Oryzias latipes: one gene and its partners. The protein of the gene in region 3 interacts with the protein of the main gene of each other region in a pairwise test. Links are inferred from orthologs where the notes say so. Each region holds a gene or a part of one and is shown on either strand. Other genes may lie near its edges.

Region 1 (3,915 bases), on a different chromosome or scaffold from region 3:
GGGGCCTGACAGACTGCCGGCGGCTGTGGGACTACATCTACCAGCTCCTGTCGGACAGCAGGTACGAGAACTACATCCGCTGGGAGGATCCGGAGAGCAAAGTCTTCCGCATCATGGATCCCAACGGCCTGGCCAGGCTCTGGGGCAACCACAAAGTAAACACCTCCACCTGACTCCCTTTCTGCTCCGTCTGCAAAAGAAGATCTTAACGTATAAATGTCACGTCTATGAAGAGCAAATGGAATCAGCGAGCCGGGTCATGAGGTCATGTGACCTCTGAACACCCTATTGTTAGTTTGTAGCAAGATGTGAGAAGTTTGCTCAAATATTCCCGCCTGCCAGCCGTGTCCCCGCTCTGTACTTCATAGCTCTGGTTAAAAGATCGCTTTGGAAAATGTTCACTGTGTTCCATTAAAGAATGTGCAAGTATAGGAGAATGCCACTTTTGCAAGGTCGCCACGTGCAAAACGTTCAAAATCTACAACTTAGAATTCCAACATTGTTTCCATAATTGCTTCCAAATGATGGCCGAGAAGTTCGGAAATGATCAATGAAAATCACGAGTTTTCGTTTGTATCTGCTACTAAAGGTGCAGTTTCTTTTTAATTCAAGATGGAGGTTTCTTCCCGAGGTCAAAGGTTGGCAAAACTCCAGGGGTCGTTGTAGACTTAAGTTAGCACCACGTGTGTAAATGTTTGCAAAAATTACTCGAAAGAAGGTAATTTTCCTTAATTGTAGAAAATCCACAAATCTCTGATTTTGGCACAAAATGGCCGCCAAATCGTAGGTCATCTGGCCATCCCACAATGATTGGAAAACTTCCTATGGAAATCCTGACAAGTGGATATTGATTTCCTTAGAGAATTGTAAATATTTTTCACCCGAATTACATTTTTTAGCTGAGTCAGCAGATTATTTTGGCAAAGGTTTTTTGTTTACCAAGCCCAGAATTTTGACACTGTCATATCGTACGTTATAACCGGAGAATTCATGTATACGGTTTTTACGACATTGTGATAAGAAATGTGAGAGCTAGCTGAGATCGCAACAGTTGCAAAATCGACACACGCACGCCTTTCAAACTTCTAATTCCAACATTTTTTCCACAGTACTTCGCCATTGATAATCGAGAAGTTACAATCAATAAAAATCCTTCAGACGAGTTTTAGTTTGTATCTGGAGCTAAAAGTGTTTTTTTTTAATTCAAGATGGCGGTGGAACTTCTGTGGTCGTTGTAAACTTAAGCTAGCGGCATTTGCGTGAAATTTCGTGAAAATGGCACAAACTAAAATGTTGTTTTCCCATTTTGTCGAAAAACTTCAAAAACGGCAAATCTCAATCTTTGCCACAAAATGTCCGTCAAGCCCTAGGTCGTAAGGTCATCCCATAATAACTTCAAAACTTTCTTTGGATATCCTCGACACGTGTGTTTTGGATTCGCTGCTGTATTTTGATTTTGTTTTTTTGGCTTTCCACGCATGCGGCGGGGACAAATTTCTGCTCACACTTAGTAGAAATTGTTCCAACTGTGAAAACAAAATGGTGGCCCATGATAAACGTTTCACTACAAAGTGATTGACACCCCTTCCCTTGACCAATCGTGGTCAAGGTTCAACTTGACCAATCTGAGTCCCTGATTGGTCAACCTGACCACAGATTTGTTAGTGACAAATCTTTAAACTCACAGAAGTGCCAACCGCAGAATCCGAATAGAGCTGAGAAAGAAAAAGCTTGGCGTAAGATTCATGGTTGTACAGGGTGCACACCAAACCTCGTCCACTAACAAATCTGTCAACGTAGCTTTACATCAAAGTTGCCGATTTTACCCAAAAATGGCGGACAACAGTGTGCGTGGCGTCACTGCAAGTGGTTCCTACAGCAGAGCAAAGCTGATCCGGAAAACCGCCATTTCCACGTCCGCGGATGTCGAATACAAGGCCTCTTAAAATGCAAGAGGGATTAGACACTGGAAGAAAACACGCCGTTTACACGCCATATCTATGTTCTAATGAAAACCGGATCTTTATCTATTCCATTAAGACATGCAGCAGGTGATAGAACTTTTTTTTAAAGTGTACTTTTTTGTTAAGGCTTTTGAAATCCAAGACCCCGTCATGTACCTCCTACCCCGTCCTGTCTGCATCACGAATGAACCGGAAACATATTTATATCCATGTGAGCTTCTCCAGAAACATTTTCCAGAGGAACCAAATCAAGCTCGATACATGAAACAGAATAGCAAAGAATCTCCCTGTAAATCTCTAGAAATAAAATAACAAACCTGCGAATCGCATCATCAGGCTTTAAAAGTATGAACGCCACTCAGACGGACAGTCGCTGCCAAAACCGTTCAACCTAGTCCGCACCGCTGCAGGAGGGACGCGGTACGACCGATGTGATGGCCGATCGCTGTGACGTAGAGGTTTCTTCTGATTCTGAAAGATTTTTGAGGTTCTGTGGCTGATGTTAGCGCTGATGACAATGGTTTTCAAAAGACTGGACTTTTGCCCCAACACAGTTTGAGATGACAAAATGTGTTTAAAATAATAAAACAGGATTCAGTTTTTTTAAAACAGAAAAGGAAAAATCCAGTCCAAACTTCACAGGTTCAATGCTATCTGCTGCCCCCTAGTGGACACAGTGAGCATTTCGATCTTTTACTGAAGAGCCATTCTTACAAACTCCTGTGTTTTTTTTGACCTTTGCAGAACAGAACCAACATGACGTACGAGAAAATGTCGCGAGCACTGAGACACTACTACAAGCTGAACATCATCAGGAAAGAGCCGGGCCAACGGCTTCTGTTCAGGTACGTTTCCTGGAGCTGGATTTCCAGTCCTGCAGCTCCGCCTGCTGAAAACCCTCCTTTCTGCTACCTGCAGGTTCATGAAAACCCCGGATGAGATCATGAACGGCCAGGCCGAGCGTCTGGACCACCTGGAGTCGGACACGTACGAGGAGATCTACATCAAGGAGGAATGCTTGGGGTCGGCGGCGGGCGGGAAGGACCCCCATGAACATGTTTCTGAAAGCGATGATGGCATCTACAACTGATCCGTGGGGAATTTGGACACTCGTGTTGGGGGAAGGGGGGGTCTTGGTCTAAACTTTGCCTTAAGATGATTTTTTTCCTGACCTGCTGTCAAAAAAAAAGAAAAAAATGGAATGAACATGTTTTATTGGATGGACTCGGCGGAACGCAAAGACTCTGCTCCTCGTGGTTTTGTGTGTGGGGTTTTTTTTGGGGGGGGGCTTCATTGCGTTAGTTTCTAAATGGAAAATTGTGTGTTGGAGTGTGCGTGAGAAAGCGTGACAGACTGTTTTCACCATGAAATAAACCTTTTGATCAAACTGCAATTCCTTCAACGTCCACATGGTGGCAGCAGAGGGCAAGTTTAGCCTCCAATTAATGATTTAATGATTTTGGCGCGTGACAGGTTTAGAAACAGTTCTGGTTATAATTGCTTGACATATGTATTTATATTTAACCCAGAGACACAAATCGAATTATTTAATTATAAATTTTAGACTTTCTACCTTTATTGAGATTTAAAAAGATCCCTAGGTTTCATCTGCAGATCCCGAGCGCAGAAAGTAAGCGCCCCTTAAAACCCCAGAAAAGTAATCTGATTACTGCACAGCTCTGTCCCCTGAAGTAACGGCGGCGCGCCACAGTCTCTCCTTAAAAGTTGGTTGCGCGCAGAGCGCAGCTGTCAGAGCGGGAGAGCCGCGGCGCAGCGCGGATCGAGAGGCTGCAGGTGCGTTCCCCTCCCGCACGATCACGCACCGATCAGGCCGCCAAGCTTTGGACTCCGGATGGGATTCTTCTCTGAAGACGGATAATCCTGTCTGACCAGCCTGGTTTTGAGGAGAGAAGCTCTGTTCTCCCCCTTTTCCTGTGGACCTCCGTGGGCG
Region 2 (4,291 bases), on a different chromosome or scaffold from region 3:
GGCAGATTGCGGACGATAGACGCTGCGACGCGAACTGACAGCATAATGGACCTCTGTTGATGTGTCCTGCTCCCGGAACCCACAGGGAAGGACGGAAGACACTGCAGGCTGCTACGGAAAGAGCTCCGTGACCCGGAAGTACTTAAAAAAAATGCATTTTTCCATGCACCCAGTATTGAAACTAGCAATATAATGTAGTTTGTTGTATGTAAATCTAAAGCAAAGTAAGTTAAATTCATTGTCAATATCAACACATAGCCTAATAGAAAGGCATAAGCCAGTCAGCCATTATTTAGTCAGCTGGTTATTATAGTTCACCTCCATCTCCATTGTTTGATGGTCGACCAGTTAATTCAAAACTTCCAAACTCATTTATAGGATTTCATGAAAAATCATTCTATGTCAAAGCATTACACAAAAGAAAAAATAAGCAAGTTAAGCTCTAAGTTATTAAATATCCAATTTTTCCAAAATACAAAGAAATCCATTTTAAAATAATGCATGTAGTCTTTCCATGCAAGGAACTACTACATTTACAATTTGGTTTTCCAGGAAATAACTGTTCTTTCTGTGACATAAATATAGAAACACTTGATCATCTTTTTTTTTTAATGAATGTTTTTGGGAGGATTTTTTTTTCTTGGTGCTCCTCAAAGTTTCCCTTTCCTATTTCTTTTCAATTACAAAAGCACATCATATTTTTTTGGAGTAGTTTCTGGTGATAATCTATTTGATTTGACATTTAATACTGTATTAATATCTGGGAAATGTTTCATTCATAAGAGCAGATTTTCAAAAACCAAACCATTATTCAATACATTTCATGAAGAGATCAGTTTATATTTTAAATCTCTGAAATTAATTTAAAAAAACAAAAATGCAATGAAACTGTCTATTTTCATTGAAGATTACATGTTGTATGACAATATCTAGTATTGTAAACTAAAATTATAATGTTATTATTTTTATTTATTTATTCATTTTTGTATTTTATCCTTTTTTTCTTTCTTTCTGTTGTAGTCATGTGTATGCATTTGTTTGAAGTTCAATTTAAAAAAAAAATATTGGGCAACTGTACTGAATGCCCCATACCAAGACCTTTTTCTGTCAAATCTCAGAGGACAGCATCTAATTTATTTAATCTATTTCTCGTAATCTTATAACTTAAAATTTGTTTAAATGACTAAACTCCAGCAACGGAATACCTGACCATTTACTTACTCATTTTGACTTCAACATTAATTTAATCTGTTTTATAAGATCTGGAACCTGAAGCTAATCAGTCACTCTTGGCAACACTTCAGTTTTTTGAAAAAAATATTTATTATCAAAATCCTACAGTGGAATAAAGGGCAAATACATAATTCAAATGGTTGTAAGGATACAGAACAAAATGGAACATCTCGCATACGCTTAGTGTATCAAAATCCGCCTTCCTGCTCATCTGAATAGAAAGAAAGGATGAAAAAAAATATTAAGCTGTAATACTCATGTAAACCTGAAGGGGGCGTCTGAATAAAACCGAGAGACCGGAAGTGGAAAGGACTGCCGAAGGAGACATTTTAAAATAAACACTGAGCTAACAGCTAAAAGAGCTGGCGAAGCTCAGAGCGGACTGCGTCAAAGCAAATTCGCGTTCATGCAAGTTGCGTTTATTTAAAGCGGATTTGGTGTTTTGGTTTCATTTATTGGAAAACCAGAGAACTTAATATTTTTTTGAAAATGTTGAAAAGTGCAACGCTGGAAAACGAATACTATAACTAACACCGTGGTAAGTTGAAACCAGACAAATGCAAAAAGAGGGGTGTAGCTAACGGTTAGCCTACTTTTAGCCGTTGACATGAGATTGCCCGGTACTTCTGTCTGGATAGACACTGTTTCCATTTATAGGCTTGCGGTGCAGCTGTCCTGCCTGAGTGTTTATTTTCACCGCACGTTTTTTTCTTCTCGCTCTCGGCTCGGGAGGACGATATATTACGATCGAAATTATTTCAAGTTAGCAGCCAAAAGGTTGTTAGCATAAGCTAGTTACAAACTCCAACAGAACACACACACACATATATATATATATAAAACATTAAATAACCAACTTTTTGTACAATTTTTCACAGAATCTTGCTTGGAATTTTATTAATTGTGAAAACTTGGGCCAAAATGAAAAATTTGAATATATGTTGGTATTGATGCATATAATATTGGGCGAGTCTGCTGTTATACATGCAGTCAAAGAAGCCTATTGAGTCTGCTTGTTTTGCATTCCTCAGCATATCAAAACTTTCAAATGATTTTTTTTTTTTTTCTGGCAGGTGAATTTCTGTCCAGGGACATTGGTCCAAGTTTGGTGGACCTTTGGGCTCTGGGCTAAACAAGATTAAAGATGGCTGATTTCTCAAGAGCAGAAGAAGTGTTGGATGTCGAATGCCCTCCTGCATGCCTTGATGATCCTCAATCAGCCACAGCCTCAGTTCATGAAGAACAAGATGAGCATCTGAAAACGGAGACCACCACCAGTACGAGTTCACCCCCAAGGGAGAAGGAGATAGACAGCCCCTTAAACACTGAGGGGGAGCAAAGTCTCCTTTCAATGCCATGCCTGATGAAGGAGCTCCACAGAGACTCCCCAGAGTCCCAACATGCATCTAAAAGGAGTGACAAGCTTGTGTCACGTAATATCTATGAAAGTGACTCTTCAAATCCCTGCATGCTGTCCCCTTCATCTAGTGGGCACCTTGCTGACTCAGATACTCTTTCGTCTGGAGAAGAGGGTGTTGTTCCACCTGCAGGAGGAGAAGAAGGGGATGCTATGGAGGCCACAAATGATCCTGGGCAAGAATCAAAACAAACCTCTGCCACTGCCTCAGGAGGTAGGAAGTCCCGCCGGTCGCGTTCAGAGAGTGAGACGCCTCCCAGTGCGATGGCTGCCAAGAAGAACCGCTGCCAGCCTACAATGGCCGTAGCTGCTGGGCTGGAAACTAATGGCAAGCCGACTAAAGTGAAAGGTCACCGGAGCCAGAAACACAAGGAGCGTATACGTCTGCTGAGGCAGAAACGTGAAGCAGCAGCACGGAAGAAATATAACCTGCTGCAGGACAGCAGTACCAGTGACAGTGAGCTCACATGTGACTCGAGCACCACCTCCTCTGAGGATGATGACACTTCTGGAGGAAGCAAGACAATCCAGACAGATATTCCAGGTAACGTCCATAATCTTATCACATACTGTGGCTATAAATACTTAGTTTAAAAAAAAAACATTAATATAGCAAAGACACAGAACCTTAGTTAAGAAAGTGTAATCAAATCAAAAAATGTTGTAAAATAAATGCCAAAGAAGGCCTGCTTTGTATTTGTGGATCGGTCATTTTCTAGTTTTTTCCTCATCTACCATCTAAAGTCATTTGTCTTGTATCTCTGCCTAAATAATCTTCATTTAGCTGCTCTCTGTCCAGTCACTTGCCATTCTACTTCACTTTTTGATGGCGCTTGTGTCCCGTTTTGCATGCTGTGAAGGTTTATTTGACACTGTATAACTCATGGGGTAATAATAATCCACCAGTAGTGCCATTTCTGCTGTTTTGGTAGCTGTTCTATGTTCCATTGTGATTTCATTACATTTTTACAAAACATACCTGTTAGAGTTTTTAGGGTCTAATAAATGTGTAGATCACTGAAAGATGCGATCAAAGGTTTCTTTTTTATTATTATTTTAATAGGACCTGCTTTGTTTTATTGTTTTTTATTTAGTGTGATGAAGGTTTTTTTGTTGTTTTTTTTGTTTTGGTCCAGGTCGATCATACTGCCCACACAGAATTATTTTACCGGTTCAGTCGGGTGGTCCTTCTTTTCTAAAACAGATTCTGCAGAGCAGTTGGGCAGCGTTTGTGTGTTAAATGTTAATCTATACAATGCTCTGAATCGTCTAATGCAAACCGAGGTCAAACCCTGACAGTCCTCTGTACGTGTAGATCAGCTCTCTTGTTTCCTCAGCTGATGTAGAAATGTCTTGGGAGAGCTGAGGCATCTGGAACAACAAGTAGGCTAATATTTGAAGATGTGATGCTGCTGTTGGGAAAGAGGCCCTCATATTTATCTAAGCCTGATCTTTTCACTCTTTTTTTTTTTTCCTTGTGGCTTTAGAAAGGCTTTTATTTAGTGAGTAGCAGTTAGTAAATTTATGTTTTTTTACATCAAATGTTTCTGATTTAATCAGGTATTCTCCTGTCTAATGAGAGAGTTTGAATAATGAAGATATTGCAATTGTGTTCATACTGCACCAACAGTGAACATGTTT
Region 3 (3,669 bases):
GGACCTGCTCCCTCGTTTAGCCCCGCCCCCCTTCATTTGGACAGACGCTTTGGTCCGTTCCAGGAAAACAACTTTTTTTGTTTTGAATAGATGGAAAGATCAGAAGCATGCCGCTCTGGTATGCTTCTGATCGGTTTCTTTTTACGGTTTCTGTAACCGCACTTACCCAGAATGCCATCTGACATATTTCCTCTATGAGACAATTTTAAAAAACATTTTGGGGAGGAAGAAGCTCCTAAAAACCATTTTCCTGCAAAAGCACATCATTCCAGCAAGGTTGATAAAATAAAAATTTAAAACACGAAAGCGAAATGGTTGCCGGTAAAAATCTTAGAGTGTCCTCCGACGGCAGAGCCACAGGTTCGAGTCCTCGGTCTGTCCGCCTCCCCGACCGCACACATGGAAGCCCTGATTGAGTCCTTTTGCTTTTTTGATTCAGATGGTTTGAAACTTAACAGAAATACATACATACATACAAAACCAAATGATAAAAAACATGAATAAAAGGGGAAAAAAAAGAAGAAAAAAAAACATCAGAAATTGTGGCTTTAATGATTCCAAAGTCCGCCGGTCTGTTCTTGATAAACTTCGATGACGTCCTCATCCTCCATGCCCAGCTATAAAAAAACAGAAGAAAACACAAACCTTAGTGACCACTAGTGCTTGGTTTTCGCTCTTGCGAGTGTCGCTTACCTCTTTTGGGGTTTGGTTATCTGCGATTCTCTGTCCCTCAAAAAGAAACCGTAGCGTGCTCGCCAGGACTCCCTGAAAGAAACGTCATCCTCTGCTGTTAGACCATTAGGAGATTTTTATTTTTCCTTCAATCAGCTCTCCTTGAACGCCGCCGCGAGGCGCTAGGAGCACGAGTAACGATTACATAGACGAGCTTTTAGGTGTAACCCTTATGCTATCTTAGATGACCCCACCCTTACATTGACGTGTTCTCCCTACCATGACAAAAGTGGAAAGATTTCATGTAATCCATGGACACCAGTGAAGATCACAAATCATTGAAGAAGAAAGGTTAAGCGCACTGTCTAGTGGGTCTAGATGACCCAACTCCTAATGTTAAAGGGCCTAGGATAGCACAAGGGTTAAAGAAAATTAAGCTTAAAATTACATTTAAAATTGGGTTATTTTTTTTTTATATTTAAAATCGTTGTGAATCAGGAGCAGACAAAATTAAACTTAGTTGGAAAAAGGTTGCAGGTATGATTCCAAAGCTACTACGGCAAGCCACAAGGCTCCCTTGCAGACAAATAGACTCGTGTAACTTTTTTTTATTTTCCTCGTCCGAGCATCCGGATCCAAACTGTGCAGCTGGATAGCTCCGATATTGCTCGCCATTTTTGTTGCACTGCTAATATTAGCTTGGGAGTCTTAGTAAGCTAGCGGGAGAGCGTGTCAAAAAAATAAATAAAAATCACTAGGAACTTTTTATTTTTTGCAATAGATCAAAAGATGATCAGAGTTATCTTTTTTTTAAATAATGGCGTGTTCTACCATAAGGAACTGCATTTGGATGGATCTGCGAAGGCTGTCATTGGAAAAGTGGCGATGCGTCTTCCTCTTCATACCTGTCTCTGGCTGTAAGACTCTTTCAGCTTCTTTAGATGTGTGGTCATTTTCACCTTGAAGTGGATTTCACTGCTGTCCTGTGGGCAGAAACGGACACACACAAAAAGGTGATGCAGCTCAAAAACAATAACAACTTCCAGCATTAAAACGAATACATCTGTAAATGATAAAGAATTGGCAGAATCATTGACCAAAAATAATAGCCTTCTATAAACAATAATAGAGACACCACCACGTGCCATAACTTTATTTGAAATGGAGTAGAATACGGTTTATTTCTAAATGCAGACAGTAGTGACAACAAAAGCAGAGACACAAAAACAACCTACCTGACCGATCACTTTTAGTTTGATGTACTCTCCATCTTTCTTGTCGCCTCCGTCCTGATTGGAAGGTTTCGTCTCCTGACAGAAACATCACAAAACATTGCTACATGATGCGACCGCTAGCACGCTTTCGAGGAAGGCCCGTCTGTTTACTCCGCGGGTTCCACGAACACAGAGAACATCCACCATAGACACGAGTGTGGGTTCGGTCCCGCCAGCACCAGTTCTGACCCCCCCCCCAAAAAAAAATCTCAAAAAACTACACAAAAGCTCACGTGGAGGGTAAAAAAAAATCGCTAAGTTCAGTCAGAGGCCTGCAGCTAGAACAGCTAACGGTTAGCATGTTGTTAGATAATCACGTACGAGGCAGCGTCCATAACAAACACATTATCGATTTCTTAGTAAAGTGTTGACAGAAAATCATTCGAACTCTTCAACGTTCTTTTTCTTACCGTGTCTGACATGTTTATCCTGACTGTGTGCGGGAGGGGGAGGGAATCCCTTCAAGGTGTAGCGTTAGCTTTTAGCGGTGGCTCTTGCTTTATGTTGTGAGGAATGCGACATCAAACGGAAGTGACGCAGGGCTGTTCAAAATAAAAGTCGCGTGAAGGAATTTGTTTTGTAGCGGATTGTCTCCATAAGAAAAGCGCGCGCGCGCACACACACACACACACTCATACAAAAACCTTGCCTTTTCCAGTATTATGAAGTCTTTACTCCTGTTCAATATTCAAATGCAATATATATGTTTAGATTAAATTTATATATTTTTAACATGGGCTTAAAAAATAGCATTTTATGATAATTTAATAAATAACTATATATATATAGAGAGAGAGAGAGAGAGAGAGAGAGAGAGAGAGAGAGAGAGAGAGAGAGAGAGAGAGAGAGAGAGAGAGAGAGGATGAAACAGTCGACAGCCGACAGTGTGCTCAGTGAATGTCTCAGGCAATGGAGAGCAGAGGATACAGTGCTGGAGGACAGATCCTCATGGGAAGACAAACCCCTGCATGGGACGTACCACCGGACCATAACTGAAGTGGCTGATATCAAGAAGTCCTACCAATGGCTAGAGAGGGCTGGCCTACAGGACAGCACTGATGCGCTCCTCCTGGCAGCTCAGGAACAAGCCCTGAGCACCAGAGCAATAGAGGCTCAGATCTACCACACCAGACAAGACCCAAGGTGTAGGCTGTGCAAATAAGCGCCTGAAACAATCCAGCACATAACTGCAGGGTGTAAGATGCTGGCAGGGAAAGCATACATGGAGCACCACAATCAAGCAGCTGGAATAATATACAGGAACATGTGTGCAGAATATGGACTGGAAACCCCAAGGTCAAAATGGGAAACACCTCCGAAGGTGGTAGAGAATGAGAGGGCAAAAATCCTGTGGGACTTCCAGATCCAGACTGATAGGATGGTAATGGCGAACCAACCAGACATTGTAGTGGTGGATAAAGAACAGAGGAAAGCCGTTGTGGTGGATGTGGCAGTGCCAAGCGATGGGAACATCAGGAAGAAGGAACATGAGAAACTGGAGAAATACCAGGGACTCAGAGAAGAACTGGAGAAAGCATGGAAAGTGAATGTGACAGTGGTGCCTGTGGTAATTGGAGCACTCGGGGCAGTAACCCCCAAGCTGGAGGAGTGGCTACAACAGATCCCTGGAAAGACCTCAGACCTCTCAGTCCAGAAAAGCGCAGTGCTAGGAACAGCTAAGATACTGCAGGACCCTCAAGCTCCCAGGCCTCTGGTAGAGGAC

Evidence for each region.
Region 1: the proteins of sumo1 (region 3) and etv6 interact in a two-hybrid assay, tested with the Homo sapiens proteins (2 studies listed by BioGRID). The link is inferred for Oryzias latipes from reciprocal best matches to the Homo sapiens genes SUMO1 and ETV6.
Region 2: the proteins of sumo1 (region 3) and c12h18orf25 interact in binary tests that used the Homo sapiens proteins (3 or more experiments, as listed by UniProt). The link is inferred for Oryzias latipes from reciprocal best matches to the Homo sapiens genes SUMO1 and ARK2N.

Annotation. Positions count from the first base shown.
Region 1 is NC_019881.2:2,195,341-2,199,255, reverse strand, and holds the end of etv6 (transcription factor ETV6), read left to right. Parts: intron 1-12; coding exon 13-155; intron 156-2,708; coding exon 2,709-2,809; intron 2,810-2,882; coding exon 2,883-3,054; 3' UTR 3,055-3,357; downstream 3,358-3,915. UniProt on the Homo sapiens protein: Transcriptional repressor; binds to the DNA sequence 5'-CCGGAAGT-3'. Plays a role in hematopoiesis and malignant transformation.
Region 2 is NC_019870.2:8,672,075-8,676,365, forward strand, and holds the start of c12h18orf25 (uncharacterized protein C18orf25 homolog), read left to right. Parts: upstream 1-1,364; 5' UTR 1,365-1,771; intron 1,772-2,306; 5' UTR 2,307-2,377; coding exon 2,378-3,194; intron 3,195-4,291. Other genes in the region: ATP synthase subunit alpha, mitochondrial, read right to left, coding at 1-44. UniProt on the Homo sapiens protein: AMPK substrate important for exercise capacity and skeletal muscle function.
Region 3 is NC_019860.2:9,899,725-9,903,393, forward strand, and holds sumo1 (small ubiquitin-related modifier 1), read right to left. Parts: upstream 2,390-3,669; 5' UTR 2,369-2,389; coding exon 2,357-2,368; intron 1,983-2,356; coding exon 1,908-1,982; intron 1,656-1,907; coding exon 1,578-1,655; intron 766-1,577; coding exon 694-765; intron 618-693; coding exon 549-617; 3' UTR 528-548; downstream 1-527. UniProt on the Homo sapiens protein: Ubiquitin-like protein that can be covalently attached to proteins as a monomer or a lysine-linked polymer.